Linked DNA regions of Drosophila melanogaster. The protein of the gene in region 1 interacts with the protein of each later gene in a pairwise test. Each region holds a gene or a part of one and is shown in the gene's direction. Other genes may lie near its edges. The genes, in order: CG1486, CG15712, CG10252 and ND-B14.

What was found.
Region 2: the proteins of CG1486 (region 1) and CG15712 interact in a two-hybrid assay, tested with the Drosophila melanogaster proteins (one large-scale study listed by BioGRID).
Region 3: the proteins of CG1486 (region 1) and CG10252 interact in a two-hybrid assay, tested with the Drosophila melanogaster proteins (one large-scale study listed by BioGRID).
Region 4: the proteins of CG1486 (region 1) and ND-B14 interact in a two-hybrid assay, tested with the Drosophila melanogaster proteins (one large-scale study listed by BioGRID).

The regions. Positions count from the first base shown.
Region 1 is NC_004354.4:21,322,230-21,328,681, forward strand, and holds CG1486 (uncharacterized protein), read left to right. Parts: upstream 1-1,816; 5' UTR 1,817-1,918; exon of another isoform or gene 1,919-2,005; 5' UTR 2,006-2,231; coding exon 2,232-2,342; intron 2,343-2,480; coding exon 2,481-3,593; intron 3,594-3,659; coding exon 3,660-3,941; intron 3,942-3,998; coding exon 3,999-4,514; intron 4,515-4,573; coding exon 4,574-4,767; intron 4,768-4,831; coding exon 4,832-5,174; 3' UTR 5,175-5,921; downstream 5,922-6,452. Other genes in the region: Dd (dullard), read right to left, coding at 902-1,000.
Region 2 is NT_033778.4:16,484,339-16,487,192, reverse strand, and holds CG15712 (uncharacterized protein), read left to right. Parts: upstream 1-1,640; 5' UTR 1,641-1,652; coding exon 1,653-2,183; intron 2,184-2,238; coding exon 2,239-2,352; downstream 2,353-2,854. Other genes in the region: CG33458 (uncharacterized protein), read right to left, coding at 1-77, 135-183, 309-519.
Region 3 is NT_033777.3:23,694,654-23,697,845, reverse strand, and holds CG10252 (uncharacterized protein), read left to right. Parts: upstream 1-1,600; 5' UTR 1,601-1,683; coding exon 1,684-1,702; intron 1,703-1,763; coding exon 1,764-1,982; intron 1,983-2,042; coding exon 2,043-2,229; intron 2,230-2,300; coding exon 2,301-2,565; 3' UTR 2,566-2,625; downstream 2,626-3,192. Other genes in the region: prt (portabella), read left to right, coding at 22-623, 690-906, 970-1,094, 1,161-1,253.
Region 4 is NT_033778.4:10,896,644-10,899,571, reverse strand, and holds ND-B14 (NADH dehydrogenase (ubiquinone) B14 subunit), read left to right. Parts: upstream 1-1,686; 5' UTR 1,687-1,778; coding exon 1,779-1,908; intron 1,909-1,984; coding exon 1,985-2,100; intron 2,101-2,154; coding exon 2,155-2,283; 3' UTR 2,284-2,428; downstream 2,429-2,928. Other genes in the region: Polr2E (RNA polymerase II, I and III subunit E), read left to right, coding at 608-1,240; CG12942 (uncharacterized protein), read right to left, coding at 2,626-2,881.

The DNA.
Region 1 (6,452 bases):
GGGCTTGGTGGCTATGCGTCGCTACACTCTGTTGGGGTTGGGTTGCGGTGCAAGGAGATGTTAGAGGTGCTCAATGGCCAAGTTATCACTAGTGCATGGGAAACCCCAATTTACTGATATATTATGCTTTTACAAAACAATTAACAATTATTAGCTGTGCAATAGCATATAATGTTGATGTGGATTCATCGATATCTATGTATATAAGCAGGTCGAAGGTCAGTGCCTCTGCCGCGTCACGATATCTGGCCAAAATCGCCGGCCCAGTACTGAGAGAGTATTGAAGGCGGGTGGTCGATAAGGCGGATGGGAGAACCGTGGACAGCACTTCTGGGACGGGTGGGGATTCGGTGGAACACGAACCATTAAACGTGTGGCGGAAAATCTTGATAGAGGCTTACTTTAAGACAGGTGTCACTGGCTAAGCGGTACCCAGCAAAAATATATGTAACTTTACGAAAATTTAAAATTTTGCAAATATTTAGGAATAAATATCTCGTATTCGTATATATTGAAAGTTACTCTAAATTTAATAGATCGCACATTGAAGTAACGTAAATATAATTTGAAAATATAAATGAAACCATATTATTGATATGAGAGATTTGCAGATACAAAGATCTAAAATATATGAATTAATTTTAAGTTCAACGTTTCTATTCATGCAAATCTTCAAATAAATTTCCGAGGCAAACACATCCATACTCTCTAGCGAGTACTACCTGTATCATTGAAAATCTTATCAGTGCGGCCGCTTTTATTATTATTATTCTGTAGCAGTAGTACTTAAGTTTCGATAGCGGGAGCGGGTTGGGAATAATTTCGGCGTTTCGGGCGGGTAAAAATAGGACTATTTTTGTTTTGTGATTTACTCCTGCTTTCGGGTAATTTCAGTACTTACAGCTCGCACTTGGCGATTGAACATGAAACAAATGCATGTCCATACTTTTGATAGCAACAACAAAAGCGCACGGAATTTCATTTGCAGCAGCGAAATCATTGGAAATAGTGCAAGTCCTTGTACGGTGTTTTTTTTGTTCGGGGCGATTAATTCGATAAATCGACCACGATCCGCGATTGACCGCGGTGCGAGCAGATTCCTCTTCTTCTTCCGCCTCCTCTACTTTATTTTTTCTTTTGCAACGAATTGTTGTTGTTTTTGATAACGCGCCGAGAGCCACACGCACACTCACCCACACACCCGCGGGCGCGCTTCACACAACACACACTCACACAAAAAAAACCCGGAACAAAATCGATAACAAGGCTTCTAGATATTTTGTTGAAAGTGTTTTTCTCTTTTCCCGGTTTTTTACTTGAGTTCAATTATTCGGTGTCGCCTAGTTTTAAGGTCCCTTTTCAAGGGAGAAGGAGGGGTATGGTCTTATTTCCAATTCTTTTGGGGGCTTTTTATATCTGGCGTCTGCTCTTCTTCTTCTCTTTTGTTGTCTTGTACGCCAGTGTGTGAGTGTATTGTTTTTTTTTTAGCGTAGTGTAGTTTTTATATTTTGGCAACTATCGCACCGATTTGGGAATAGATTTTGTTTTTGGTTGAGCAAAACGAATCAATTGATTGAGCTATTGCACTTTGATTGCAGTCGATTGCGAGGTGCGTTCGCCTGAATAGTACGACCTGGCCGTGGACTGTTCATTACTCGTTGGCGCTGCGGCTTAGTGTTTATTACATAAATATAGTTTGTCCGCGTTTCGTTTTTGTTTAATAAATTCCCACACTCATGCACACACTCATGTTTATTCGATACTATCGCACTTTCGCAGCATCGATGAGTTTTCCGCAACTATCGATGGCTGTGTAGTATGACCGTGCGGTGCTGTCTTCAAAATCGCTGAGACACAAACCGTGACACAAACCACTGTGAAAACTCGTCGTTTAAGGTTACGAGTAGGTGCTATGTATGTACGTTTGTGTGCTGCTGTCCAACGTCTTTTAGTGGCGGATATTATAATAGTTTTCCAACTTCCTTGCGACCTATTCCATCACCAGAACCATGGGCCAACAATCGCACACTATTTGCGATCTTAGTCAGACGCACCCACTACGGTCACACCATTCCACATCAGCCTCTCTTCCATCAACACACACACACACTCGCCCGCCCCACACACACACGCACACACACCCACCCACACAGACGCAGTGGCACGAAACGAAAACAATTATTTTGCATCGCAGGCGATAAGTTAAAAGTGATTTAGACCGCACTGAAACCATGTCAGCGGCTGGTAGATCGGTGGACGATCCCGGCCAGAGCCCACTCGTAGACCAAGAGCCGGATCCGGGCCAATCAACGCCAGCGGTGGCCGAAATCGCCGCTTCCAGTGTGAGTGTTTGGTTTTTTTCGCCCTGCTTCTATCTTTTTTTTTTTTGCTGACGACGACGGAAGACACGTCAACTTCTGGAGCGCTGTTGTTTACCTTGTCCACTATCCCACCTAATTAGCCATGTATTCGCCACATAGATTCGATCGGGCCTGGCGGAGCTGGAGCTGCGATCTTCGCAGGTGCTGCAGCGCTTAGAGAACGTTAAGGTGTCGACCACGCCGGAGAGCCCAAATCCCGTCGAGAACGAGGAAGAGGCTGGGGAGCGGGTGACCAGCGAGGACCTCCTGCCAGCGAAGCATCGCGTGCCCTCCGACATTCTTAAGTCGCTGGAGCAATTGGTTTCTTACACGGACAGCGACGATGATCCGGAGTTCCCGCTGCCCGCCCTGGATGACGTCTCCCACTTGGCTCTCATATCGCACAGCATTGTGGCCTATTTGTCGCATCTGGACCGTCAGCAACTGCTCCGGGTGACGAACAGCATTTCCGGGGACGCCACCCGCTGGTTGGGCACGCTGTTTCACTTTGCCCACCCGGCGAGCAGCTTCCATGCGGACAATGCAGACGCGGTGCTGCGTACGGTGCGACTGGCCATCGTCGCCAGGTGTCCGGGGTACTTGGAGGGTGGCATACCCGCCCTGGCGCAGCCTACGTTTTACATCTCGGAGAATACGACGCCGATGAGGCTGCACTACGCATGCCGCCAGTTGGGCATACCGCTGGAGGCTATTAAGGTCATTCCGGAGCACAGTCAGTCCGGGACAATGGATGTGACGCTGCTGCAAAAGCAAATTCAGCAGGATGTGGGCAATAACAGGACTCCGCTGCTGGTGGTCGCCGACATTGGAGCCTCGTTGTGTGGCTATGTGGACAACCTGCTCCGGCTGAGGGACGTATGCAAGGCGCACAACATGTGGCTGCACGCCAGTGGCCACGGACTGGCCGCCTTGGTGTGCGCCCAAAATCAGGGCCATGTGGAGGAGGTACTCCACTCGATGGCCCTGAATTTGGGCAGCTGGCTGGGTGTGCCCAGTCTGCCCATCGTCCTGCTGCACCGTCCGCTGCAGAACAGCGCTCTGAGTGCCTTCGAATCCGATCCCATACTGTCGCGTCGTCTTAATGCCCTGTCCTTGTGGACCAGTTTGCAGGCGCTGGGCCGGAAGGCGATTGCGGAGCGTCTGCATGTGGCCTTCCAGACGTGCAGTATTCTCTTCGAGATTGCCTCCAAGTGTGAGGGCATCCGGGTGTTGGTAAATTATTGCACACACGTTTATGGATAATGTTTTTAGTTTACCAAAGGACCTTGGCATTTTCAGAGCCATACTCCAGGAGCGCAGACCGGAGCCTCTTTGTCGGACGTCATTCAGAGCCCCTTTGATGTGCAGGCGCTTTTTGATGCCGCCGCCCCCGTGGTCGCCTATCAGTTCGACGGCAGCACCACCATTCCACTGGGCGGGAGTGGCTCTTCCGCCGCCGCTGCCGCTGCTGAGCGGGAAACGGCCGAAGGCCTCAAGCCGCTAGAGAAGATTAACAATGCTTCCTACTTCGACCGGCTCAACTCCTGGCTGGGTCAAATCTTGCAACGCGACTGTCCCAATGTATGCAGTGTGAATTAATCATCTCCTTGTATGAGCCTAATCACCATGTTCTTCCAGTTTGACTTTGAGGTAATTGAACACCCGACGCACGGCAGCTGCATTCGCTACTGTCCGCTGGAATTGGGGTTGGGTGAGCAGCCGCCAAGCTCCGAGAACCTGGAGAGCTTCGCTCAGAGCTTAGAGGCACATGTGGACATCCTGCGCGCGACCATCAAGCACAAGGCACGGTTCATTCATCTGGTGGAGTGCAGCGACGTGCTGCGCCTCGTTCCACTGCCCGAATGGGCGGGCATGGGCGGTGTTCGCTTCGTGCCCGAGGGCTGGGAGTCCCTGCTGACGGACCAGGCCAAAACAGAGCTAAACAAGCTGAACATCGACCTGGTGGAGGCCCTGAAATCCACGGACAATGCCTTTTCATTAGGCGAAGGCACCGATGGTCTGATTTGTGTGCGATTCGGAATGGTGACCCATGAAACGGAGGTCGAAGAGTTGTTAGACTTGGTGGTCACGGTGGGCAAGAGCGTCCAGGAAAACTCGCGGGTATTGGACACCATGTCGGAGATTGTTAAAAAGGTTGGCTACCACCTCGTACTGGATTAATGTAACATGTGTTAATTTATTTGTACGCTCAGGGCATTGAGGCGGTTACCGCTGATCTGCAGCGCGAATCGGAGGAGAAGCTCTGGCAGGAGGGCATCCTGCGCCACGTGCCTGTGGTGGGACGCGTCTTCAACTGGTGGTCCCCACCGGCCAAGGAGTCGGGCATCAAGGGGCGGAGCCTCAATCTTACCCAAGGTGTTGTCGAAAGCACCGAGAACATTTACAAGTGGGTTCCAAAGATCGTTTGATATTGTGTCCTTGTTTAATGTTCATCAATCTACACTCCAAAGGTACCACATGCAGATGACCGGAGCCACTGCTCATCAGTTGCCAGCGAATCGTTCGCCTCCCACACCCATGGTGCAGACGCCCGTGGTCGCGCCTGCCTTGCCGCCCGTCTTTCCCACGGTGGAGCCCGTACCCGGAAATGGAAACGGATCCGGAGCGAGCGAGGGCACGCCAGTGCAGTCGGGAGAAGCTTCGGGATCGATGCCAGCAGCCTCGGGAGCGGCTCCGTCTGCGGCGCCGACCCAAAACCATGTGGATCATGCCCGCACCGTCAGTCAGAGCAGTGCCGCCTCGTCCACCGTTCCGGAGTTAGTGGCCGCCAGCAGTGCAATTAACAATAACTAACAATAACACAAGTACGAGTATATTTCAAAATTAACTATAACTGAACGGCAGAGGAAAACACTTAGATCAAGGCAGAGCCAGCAATATGGATTCCACAGTGGGAGAGGCCTTAAAACGCAGCAATATCAAACAAGGCTTGAACTGAACAGAAACGCGTAGACAAAAACTGGACAGATTACCATATATATGGACGGCTTCATTTCCACTTTCCCTACTTAAACGAAAAGAATTCCAAAGAGGATGATTGTTCGCCCGAAAAGATGAAAAGATGATGATGATATGATCCAATTGAATTGCTTTTATGTATTTATATGTATATGGCTATTTCTATGATCTTTTATATATCTCCATTATATATTATATTATTTTACCTTATACTTTACTCCCACCATTATTGTTGATTATGATCAGAGGGAAATGTGCGTAACTTCGTCCTCTTTACGCTTTTATTTTTTTGTTTTTATAATTATTCAGATGCAAGTACCTTTGAGAGACATAATATATATACATTTATATATATATAGGCAATTCTTCAATGTTCAATTGTGCGAAGCAATAAATTGCGCTATTCTTATTCGTTAAGCTAAGTGACAGTAAACTAAAGAAATTAAAGAAAACGCGGAGAAAGAAAATAATTAAATGACAAAAATATATTTATTATACAAAAATTGCTGCTATAAGAAAATATCTGCACAAAATATGATAAAAGGAAACTATACAAAATAAAATGTGAAATCATTTAGAAAGAGAAAGCATGTGTTTCTTGTTGACCTTTCGCCTCTAAATGGTAATATCTTCCCCTTTTGGTTTGTATTTCCCTAAACCGATTAAAAATGTTATTTTTTTAATTGTTATGTTTTCGTTTAGAAACGTGGCAATGTGATAAGTTTTTTTTTTTCATACACCAAACTTAACTCGATAGTTTCCAAACTTTTTATCCGATTTTCTCAACCTTTTTTTACAAATCTTAATCGTTTGATCGAAAAATTTACAATTGTTGTTAAATTACTAAAGGAAAGATGATGGTTGAGCTTATGATTTTATGCAAATAGGATACTTTTTTTAGACACATAACCTCTCTTATATAGTTTATGGTATGAAAAGTTAATTTTGTGTGGTTACATACTTACACAAGTACTGATAGTTTTTATGACCATATTCACCTTCATCATTCGTCACTTTATTGGCCCCCATTAAAAAACAACAGTTCTCCATCTAACTAATGCAATTAAATTTTATATTTTTATTTTATTTAATATTTTTTGTTGGATGTTTTTT
Region 2 (2,854 bases), on another chromosome or scaffold:
CTAAATGTGGGGCCGCACATTCAGACTCATTGCAATCAATTTTCTGACTAGCATCGTTCTCTCCTAATCGAACTAAACTTTAATAATAATTACTTAATTAATGATTTAGTTTTTCATGTTAAGATATTACTTACACCTTAGCATTCTTATCCCTAAAACAATGGGCTGCTGTCAGCACAAACCCTAAAAAAGTCATGAGTTGTTTATAAAATCGATGTATTTAATAACTTAGTTCAGTTCAATAAATTCTATACTCTGTATTCAAGAACTTACCTTCAGTTGAATAAAGTCTATATTCACATACTTACAATGATTGAGAAGCGAGCCACCACAAATGAATTTGGAGTTAATATGCAAATAGGCTAACCATGGATTGAGCATCAGGGGACTATCTCTACCGCCAGTTATCCGGTAGGTATATTTCGAAATGCCACAATCCCATTCTAGAAGATACGAATATCCTAGAGATATTCCGTGTCCCAGGATCAGTAATGCTAGCAGAGCTGGAATAAGCTTCATCTCGAAGCTGTCGAATGCAACTGACCATCAATTGATGCAATGCTGTAAATAAAATTATGCAGTACACACGATTTACTTATCACAAATATATACTAATGAGTAAGCTCTGGTTTAAATGGAAGCATATCCGTACTGACATTATACACTTAAAGCTGCAAATATCTTTTTATACATATCTATAAATAGAGGGCCGCCATATGTGTTGTAATTTATGGTTAATGTGCAAAAATGATTCTCATTCAAATGTGCCATGTTCAATTTGCTGCTTCCAGCTTTTTTGGAAGTGCGAGCATAAATTTGAGCAATTAATTATAATCTACATTAGCTTTCGCTTTAATAAATTGTGTGACCACGCAAATGTTCTGTGGTTTACTCCAATGAAGTCTGGTTTTCTTCGGTTCGAGGTGGTGGGTGAATAGGCATGGAATTCTCAGAAGGCTCGTAAATTTGGCGAATGCATAAATCACGCAATTGAATTCTAATTTTTCGACTTCTGCAGACACAACAGAACAATGTATTCAGCTTGTGTGGGATAGGCAATTCAGACTGGGATAGGAAATGCATTCCGAGTCTGAATCAATCATTATTTTTAATGCACAAATGGGAGCAATTACAGTCAGTTTGGGCCAGACAAAAGAATGTCTCACTTGATTTATCGTGGTTTGGCCAACGTTTGTTGACCATGCATCTTGTTTATCATGTGCGAAGTCGCTGCTTTGAATACTGGCTACAGATTGTGGTTTGTGTACTTATTCCCAGTGTCGGTGAAAGCGAAAGTGTGCAGTGGAAAAAATAATAATAATATAGTTTTTATTACGATAATTCATGAATAAACATTTGCCAATTAATACAAACACATATTGTAAGAGATTAAATAAGCATGAAAGCTATCTAGTTTTATGAGATGAGATATTATGTAAAAGCTATACACATATTTATAAGTGGAACTAATTCGACGATATTTGGCGTTTTTTTCGGCTGTGTAATAGTTTGTGCGGTCCAAATAGTTGATGAGACTGGTGACAGTTGACAATTAGCACCTGGCACACCCCCGCCGCCAAAGACATTGGTAAATATTGTACCCACGAAAGTATAAAAGGCTTGGCCGCTACCAAAACTCTAAGAGTCTCATTATGACTTTCTCCACCTCCGTGTCGGTTATTCTTTTGATCTCAGCAATTAGTTGTTGGGCAACAGCATTTGGCGGCTTGCGAGAGGATCTCAAGGATTTCGTAGCCTTGGTTCCACGTCGCAGAATTGGTTTTATTGCCGCCAGATACTATATCTTCGACCCGAAGTTTCGCCAGGCAGTGGAGTTTGTTCGCAGCGATGAGTTCATAGCCACTTGGCAGCAAGTTCGTGCCACTCCGGATTTCGTGAATATTATTAACTATGTGAGCGATTACGGTTCTGGCTACGACATTACCACACTGGTGGACAGCTTGCCAACACGTTTGCGTGCCTATCAACTGTCGCGGACTGTACCAGTGGAACTGATGCTGCGACGCGACCTGAACACCTTCCTCTGGGATGTTATTCATAGTTTACCCAGGACCAGAATCTATTCCTTGATAGCACAGAAATCGAAACAGAGCACTGAATTCGCCAAACTCTACAAGGCTTTGAGGGATAAGGAGTTCAAGGAGCTGGTGCAGCGTGCCAGAGTAAGATTTCAAAAGGTATCTAGTCGAGTTTTTATAACGCTCCGCTTTATCTTAGCTTTCCAGAGATCTTCAGGCGCCCATAAAAAAGTTGAGTCAGAAGAGCATCAACGTGGATGAAATACTTCAAATCGTATTTGAGGTAATCAGTTGGGGTCCCAAGACGTCCTAGATTCTATTGATTCATAGTTTTCAAAAGCGAAAGGATACATTTTGTATGTTCATAAGGATAATAAAAATATTTATTTTAGATATTACCTATCAATTATCACTTATATCATCTACATCATCTTATATCTAGCCTGATCTTTAACTTGCATATAAGCTATGTGTGAAATATGTGAACTTTTATATATACATAGTTTATTGTATTTTTATATTATTCCTTACATTTTAGTCTCATACTCAAAACTTCGTACCATTTTCTGTGTGTAAATAGACAATCGCAAAATCATCGTATAGACATGACCTTTGGGACTTAGCTGCAATCTCTTCACCTGATGTGCAGTCAGTACAATGTGGAAAATCAGCAAAAGGGGAAATCCTCCAGTCGTCATATGCTGGCACACACGCACAATATGCCATCATTAGTGCAACAGGAATCCAGGTCGTTTCACGATGACAAAAATCTGTTGAATCTTCTGGTTGGTGGCAATGCATCTTGCTGACGCAAT
Region 3 (3,192 bases), on another chromosome or scaffold:
TTCTCCAAACTTACCTTTCAGTTTTCACCGTTGGTGAATCCTACTGGGCTCTCCTGGTGGCCCGGGCTGTGCAGGGCGTGGGATCCGCTTGCATCAACATATGCGGCATGAGCCTGGTGGCCCAGCATTATCCGGAGGAGGCACGTCGTTCCAAGGTGATGGGCATCATCCTGGGCAGCATCGCATTGGGTGTGCTGCTGGGCTATCCATTCGGTGGAATTCTGTATGACCTAATGGGCAAATCGGCGCCTTTTATCATTCTCTCCACTCTGATGTTCCTAAGTTTGGGCCTCCAGCTCCTGACCATGGATCTGACGGTGCAACCGGAGGTTGTGGTGGAGGATAGACCCAAGTGGCGATCGCTGCTCGAATGCAAAATGATCCTGGCCATTGTGCTGGCCATTTGGTTTTCAACCTCAACAATGGCCATGCTGGAGCCCTGTCTGCCCATCTGGCTAATCCAGTATCTAAAGCCTAACAAGTGGCAGCTGGGCACCGTTTTCATTCCAGACTCTGTGGGCTACTTTGTGGGCACGAACTTCTTCGGCAGCATTGCCTACAAATATGGTCAGGTTAAGGTGTCCTGTATCAGTTTGTTGCTGGTGGGAGTAGCCTCTATTCTGGTGAGAGCCCTGCTTTTATAAAACCTGAATTGGAAATATATTGCAAATATATTATTTACTTTGCAGATACCCAGTGCTACAACGGTGGCCCAACTATTGCTGCCCCATTTTGCCTTGGGACTGGGTATTGGAGTAATCGATGCCGCATTGGTTCCACTCTTGGCCACCTTTGTGGATGCAACACTGGCTCAGGAGGATCAGGGTGAGGGCAGCAGTTCCATGTCCAGCTACGGAACAGTCTATGCTATCCAGCAGACCTCTGTCAGTCTGGCTTATTGCTTAGGTAAGTGGATATTGTTTTTTTTTTTTTTCTAAAAAAAAAAGTGTATTTTTATCATCTTTATAGCTCCCCTGATTGGCGGGGAGTTGGCCCAGACCTTTGGATTTGCTTGGCTGATGCGCATTGTCGGCATTTTCAATATGATTTATGGCCCAATATTGGTCTACTTGCATCAGAAATACGATCCAAAGGTATCAACATTTTTTATATTTTTCGATTAAGCCGTCACTATTTATATGTGTTTTTTTTTTTAACAGGCCCTTAGGGAACAGCATAATGATATGCTGCTCCAAAGCAGCGGGCGGGGATCTAGGTATAAACAACTTTACAACTCCATGGATGTGGAATAAGCTGTACTGCCCAGTTGTCCAGCAAAATAGCAAACAACCTTGAGTGTGCAAATAAGGCGTTCCTTTGGCTCAATAAAGCAATATATCTGGAGCTGATTTTCGTAAACAATTTATTTTTCCGATAAAATTCGAATCTCCTATTATTAAAATCACTTTGCCATGTCTTGAAGTAACTTAGGTTATTATGATCAAATTTTCGGAATAAAAAGAATTACGTAATTAATATTTGAATGGGTTATGTGTGAAGGAATTACGGTGGTAAAACTTTTCTATAACAAGTGTGCTATGGCTCTGACTTCGAATGGAGCTGCGATGTGAAGTTCTATGAAAGCCTCATTCTGCTACTGGAATCTGTTCGGCCAACACCTAATATTGGGTTCTAAATTTTCAAAATAGATTTTCTTTCTAATATTGCACAAAACTAACAAAAATGGCGGTGCGACCTTTTGGTGAGTGAGAATTCATAAAATTGTAATGTGGTAAATAATATATTATACATGCTTTTTGTAGGCCCTGGACCCGGCGTTTACATGCTGCCCCCCACTGTGGGCTATGATAAGCATGACAACCGCAAACAGCGGTTGCCGCAGTACTCTTTCGGCATGCGCACCCGTGCTCCTGGTGAGGATCTGGGTCCTGGTCCAGGGGCCTACAAGGTGGACAAGTTGACTCGCTATGGCACGAGCAAGGGTTTGGAGTTCTCGATGGCGCCCAGAACCAATGTCATCGGTAAGATAACTTATTAGTACTGAAGACAAGAACGTTTTTGGTTAAATTGCTTAATCGTAGATAAGCGAAGCAGTCCCGGTCCGGGAGCACACGATGTTCATAATAGGCCATTCTTTAAGGGGGTTAATGCTCCTTCGTATTCGATGGGCCTACGAACGGACTTTAACTTCAAGAAGGATGGTCCCGGTCCCAATGCCTACAAGTACGAGGTCAATGCCGTTCGTCCTGGAGTCCCGAGCTATAGCATGTGCGTATTTCAATCCTACCATAGTTATTCCTTTACTAAGTTGCCTATTTTTATTTGTACCTGTATCTCAGGGGACTACAAACAAAGATTTTGAACAAGACGAATTCTCCGGGTCCGGCTGCATATGGCGGTGGTGATATCAATGTCAAACTGACACGTGCTCCGATATACTCGATGCAGCCGCGCACCACTATTCCGGGCGAGAATGTCGGACCTGGACCCAACTACTACGACCTCATGTACTATCGTCCTGGCAAGAGTGGACCGGGCTACTCCTTTGGTGTGCGCCACCACCAGTTCGCTCCGCCTATGATAGTTAGATGTGACAATATGTAGACCAAGTGCAATATTGGAAGAAATATATGCTAAAATTTTTGTGAATAAACAATTCTTTTTAAACCAAGTTTCATTGTTTATGGAAAATGCTTAACGGGGTATTAAAATGAGATTGAATTTGTTTTAACTTGGTAGAACGCAATGAGCGTTACCTTTATTGGAAAAGGAAGGGAGCATTTTGATGCTAGTGCGCCTATGATGTGATACACTTGGCTCTGTACATGTCTAAAATACAAGTAGTCCCTGAACGATGTGTCAAATTAACATTTGATAATAGAAATTTTTGGAAAAAGCACATTTACATTTACATTATTATATCAACGTAACGGTGAGTTTTTAGGCAGACAACAACACGCGTTACTATTTTACGGAATTGAGAGTAACTGAATTTGTATTTAGACTATCCCATTTCAATTTCGCGGGCAAATGCTCATCTTGTTTCAACCGTTGTTTTCTCTTAACAGAGCGCTGTTATCAAGATAATGGTTCGAGTGCTCGCTTAAAGGCACTGGAACTCGGAACCATTGATTTTATCTAACTCCGGTATTTTTCAGTCACAAAATTCTTTTTATCAAAGTTTCTCGTTTTGTTTGTAGATTTTGCCTGTTTTATTTATAGTTTTTCGAA
Region 4 (2,928 bases), on another chromosome or scaffold:
TCTTTTAAGTTAAACTATTTTATAACTAAGCAGACAGAAACCAGAATGAAACTTTCAAGATCTTAATTCTTATTTATTAAATACAAATACAAATTCTACCCACTTAAAAAAGGGTCACAATGGAAATTTTGTGTGAATCAATCGTTGGATTCAATTCTGTCCAGCGATCGCTTAGTTATCCTGATCAAGAATATACGTACATACTAAATATCATTTCAATTCTATTTGAATTATATTTTCAACATAATTTCCAACAAATCAAGTTTGGCTCTCATTTCAAAAGCACAAACGTACAGGGCGCCCCCTGCACGTCGCCTCATACAAGGTACAAGCTGCCGCGTTAAAAGGGGCTCCATACAAGGTTGCTCCGTACAGATCGTATAGGGTGCTCCGTACTTGAACAGTGGAACAGAAGTGACGGCTGTTACGCTCTTATACATAGGTTCGAGTATTCGCTAAACATGTGACCATCAAACGCTCTTTGGTATTTTTAATTGTTATGCTGCAGGCGCTGTAAGGTATTTTATGAAGCGGCATACACTGGTCTTACTACATTATCCGCGTGCTCTGTTTATAATTTAGAAATTGTTAATTTTTGGAAATAGCCATGGATGACGAAGCGGAAACCTACAAGCTGTGGCGCATTCGCAAGACCATCATGCAGCTGAGCCACGATCGGGGCTACCTGGTGACCCAAGACGAGTTGGACCAGACCTTGGAGCAGTTCAAGGAAATGTTCGGCGACAAACCCAGCGAAAAGCGACCTGCTCGTTCCGATTTGATAGTTTTGGTGGCCCACAACGACGATCCCACGGACCAGATGTTCGTCTTCTTTCCCGAGGAGCCGAAGATCGGCATCAAGACAATCAAGACGTACTGCACTCGCATGCAGGAAGAGAACATCCACCGGGCCATCGTTGTGGTGCAGGGCGGCATGACGCCCTCCGCCAAGCAATCGCTCGTAGATATGGCCCCCAAGTACATCCTGGAACAGTTTCTCGAATCCGAACTGCTGATCAACATCACGGAGCACGAACTGGTCCCGGAGCACGTGGTCATGACCGTCGAGGAGAAGCAGGAGCTGCTCAGCCGTTACAAACTGAAGGAGAACATGTTGATGAGGATCCAGGCGGGCGATCCCGTGGCCCGGTACTTTGGACTCAAGCGCGGCCAGGTGGTTAAGATCATCCGTTCCTCTGAGACGGCGGGACGGTACATATCCTATCGATTGGTGTGCTGATCCTGGACTTATGAATTATTTTAAGAAACCTATGATTTAAGGAAAAGGCAGCGAGTTGTACACTTTAATAAATCGCAATCTTTTCAGTAAGTTGTGTGTTTGGTATTGGCAAGAAATTAAAGTACTCGAAATTAAATGCCCTTGAATGCTAGGAACTAGTTCAAAGTATCAGCATTTTACTTAAGAGAATCAATAGTACAAGTTGACAAAATGATATAAATTTAAAATAGTGTATTAATTTTAGCTGAGCAGCAAATCCTAATCCATAAAAAAGTTTATATTTGTTTCTTTTGAAGCGCTAGGAAATCCATTACAAATTTGCGGAATATAATGTGGGTATTAAAGATCATAATTTGATATGAGTTTTATTATAGGAATTTAGCAACATCTATTATTTTCGAGTAGAAAACATTTTTAAATAAAAATCATTTTACCAAACTTTGGTTTTGTCCATTTGTGCGTAGTGAACTGCGGTCACACTGTTCTGCTTGGAGCAATTTGGTCGTAGGAAAAACAGAAAGAAATAAAAACAAATCAAATGGCCGGACGTGAAGCCGTGAAGCGAGCCGTACAGCAGGTGCGCCCCATCCTGTCCGTGGACCGCGAGGAGGCCCGTAAGCGTGCCCTCAATCTGTACAAGGCCTGGTACCGCCAGATTCCCTACATCGGTAAGTGCTCCTGGTTATGTCATCAGAGTGTGCATCCGTATCCCGACGCCATGTAATGCCATCCGTCCGCTTGCAGTCATGGACTACGACATCCCCATGACCGTGGAGCAGTGTCGGGACAAGCTGCGCGAGGAGTTCGTCAAGCATCGCAATGTGACCGACATCCGGGTGATCGACATGCTGGTCATCAAGGTAAACGCATCCATAAGAGAGCTATGCTGCAGGTGATAATACTATCTTACGCAGGGCCAAATGGAGCTTAAGGAATCCGTGGAGATCTGGAAGCAGAAGGGCCATATCATGCGCTACTGGAAAGAATCGCAGGATCCCAAGCCCACCGACTTCCTCTCAAAATTCATCCAGGGCGTTAATTAGTTATTCAAATTGAAATAGTTTAAATACAAACTCCGACAGAGTGTAAAACGAAACAAAGGGAGTTTTGTGCGCTTCAGAAACGCGTGTGTCCTTGTTTATTGAGATTGTGACTTCAAAAATATCATGGTTTCACTGTGAATACATACTAATGAATGTTCTGATCTGGATTCTGAATCGGTTGAGCAAAATAGTTGTTCAAACTTAAACAGTTGTGGTGTATAAATGCTATTTTTTGTTAGGGCGATTTGTAAAGTGCAGACAGTCTTCTTGCTCTCGTCAGCTAATATGTGTGCCGTTTAAATTTGTAAATTCTATGCAGGTAGATTGATCGTGGCCCTGTTTTTAAGGTATCAAATTGAGCAGGTTGTCCAGAGCGGCGGAGCTGGCAAAGAGATCAGTAGTTATGGCGTCATAGTCTACGCCCAGGCTCTCCAGCTCGGTGAAACAGTCTTCCGTGAGGCCTGGAATCTCCAGTGAGTTAATCGACTTGTTGAATGCATCATGCCGATTGGTGTAGCCCTTCTTCTCGCGGAACATCTCAGCCAACTGCTCGTCGCTCAGTTCGATGCCATGCACCTTCTTGGAATGTTGGCGGAATCTGTAAGTGGCATGGTGATGATTTGCTGGCCCTGTGATAGAGTAAAT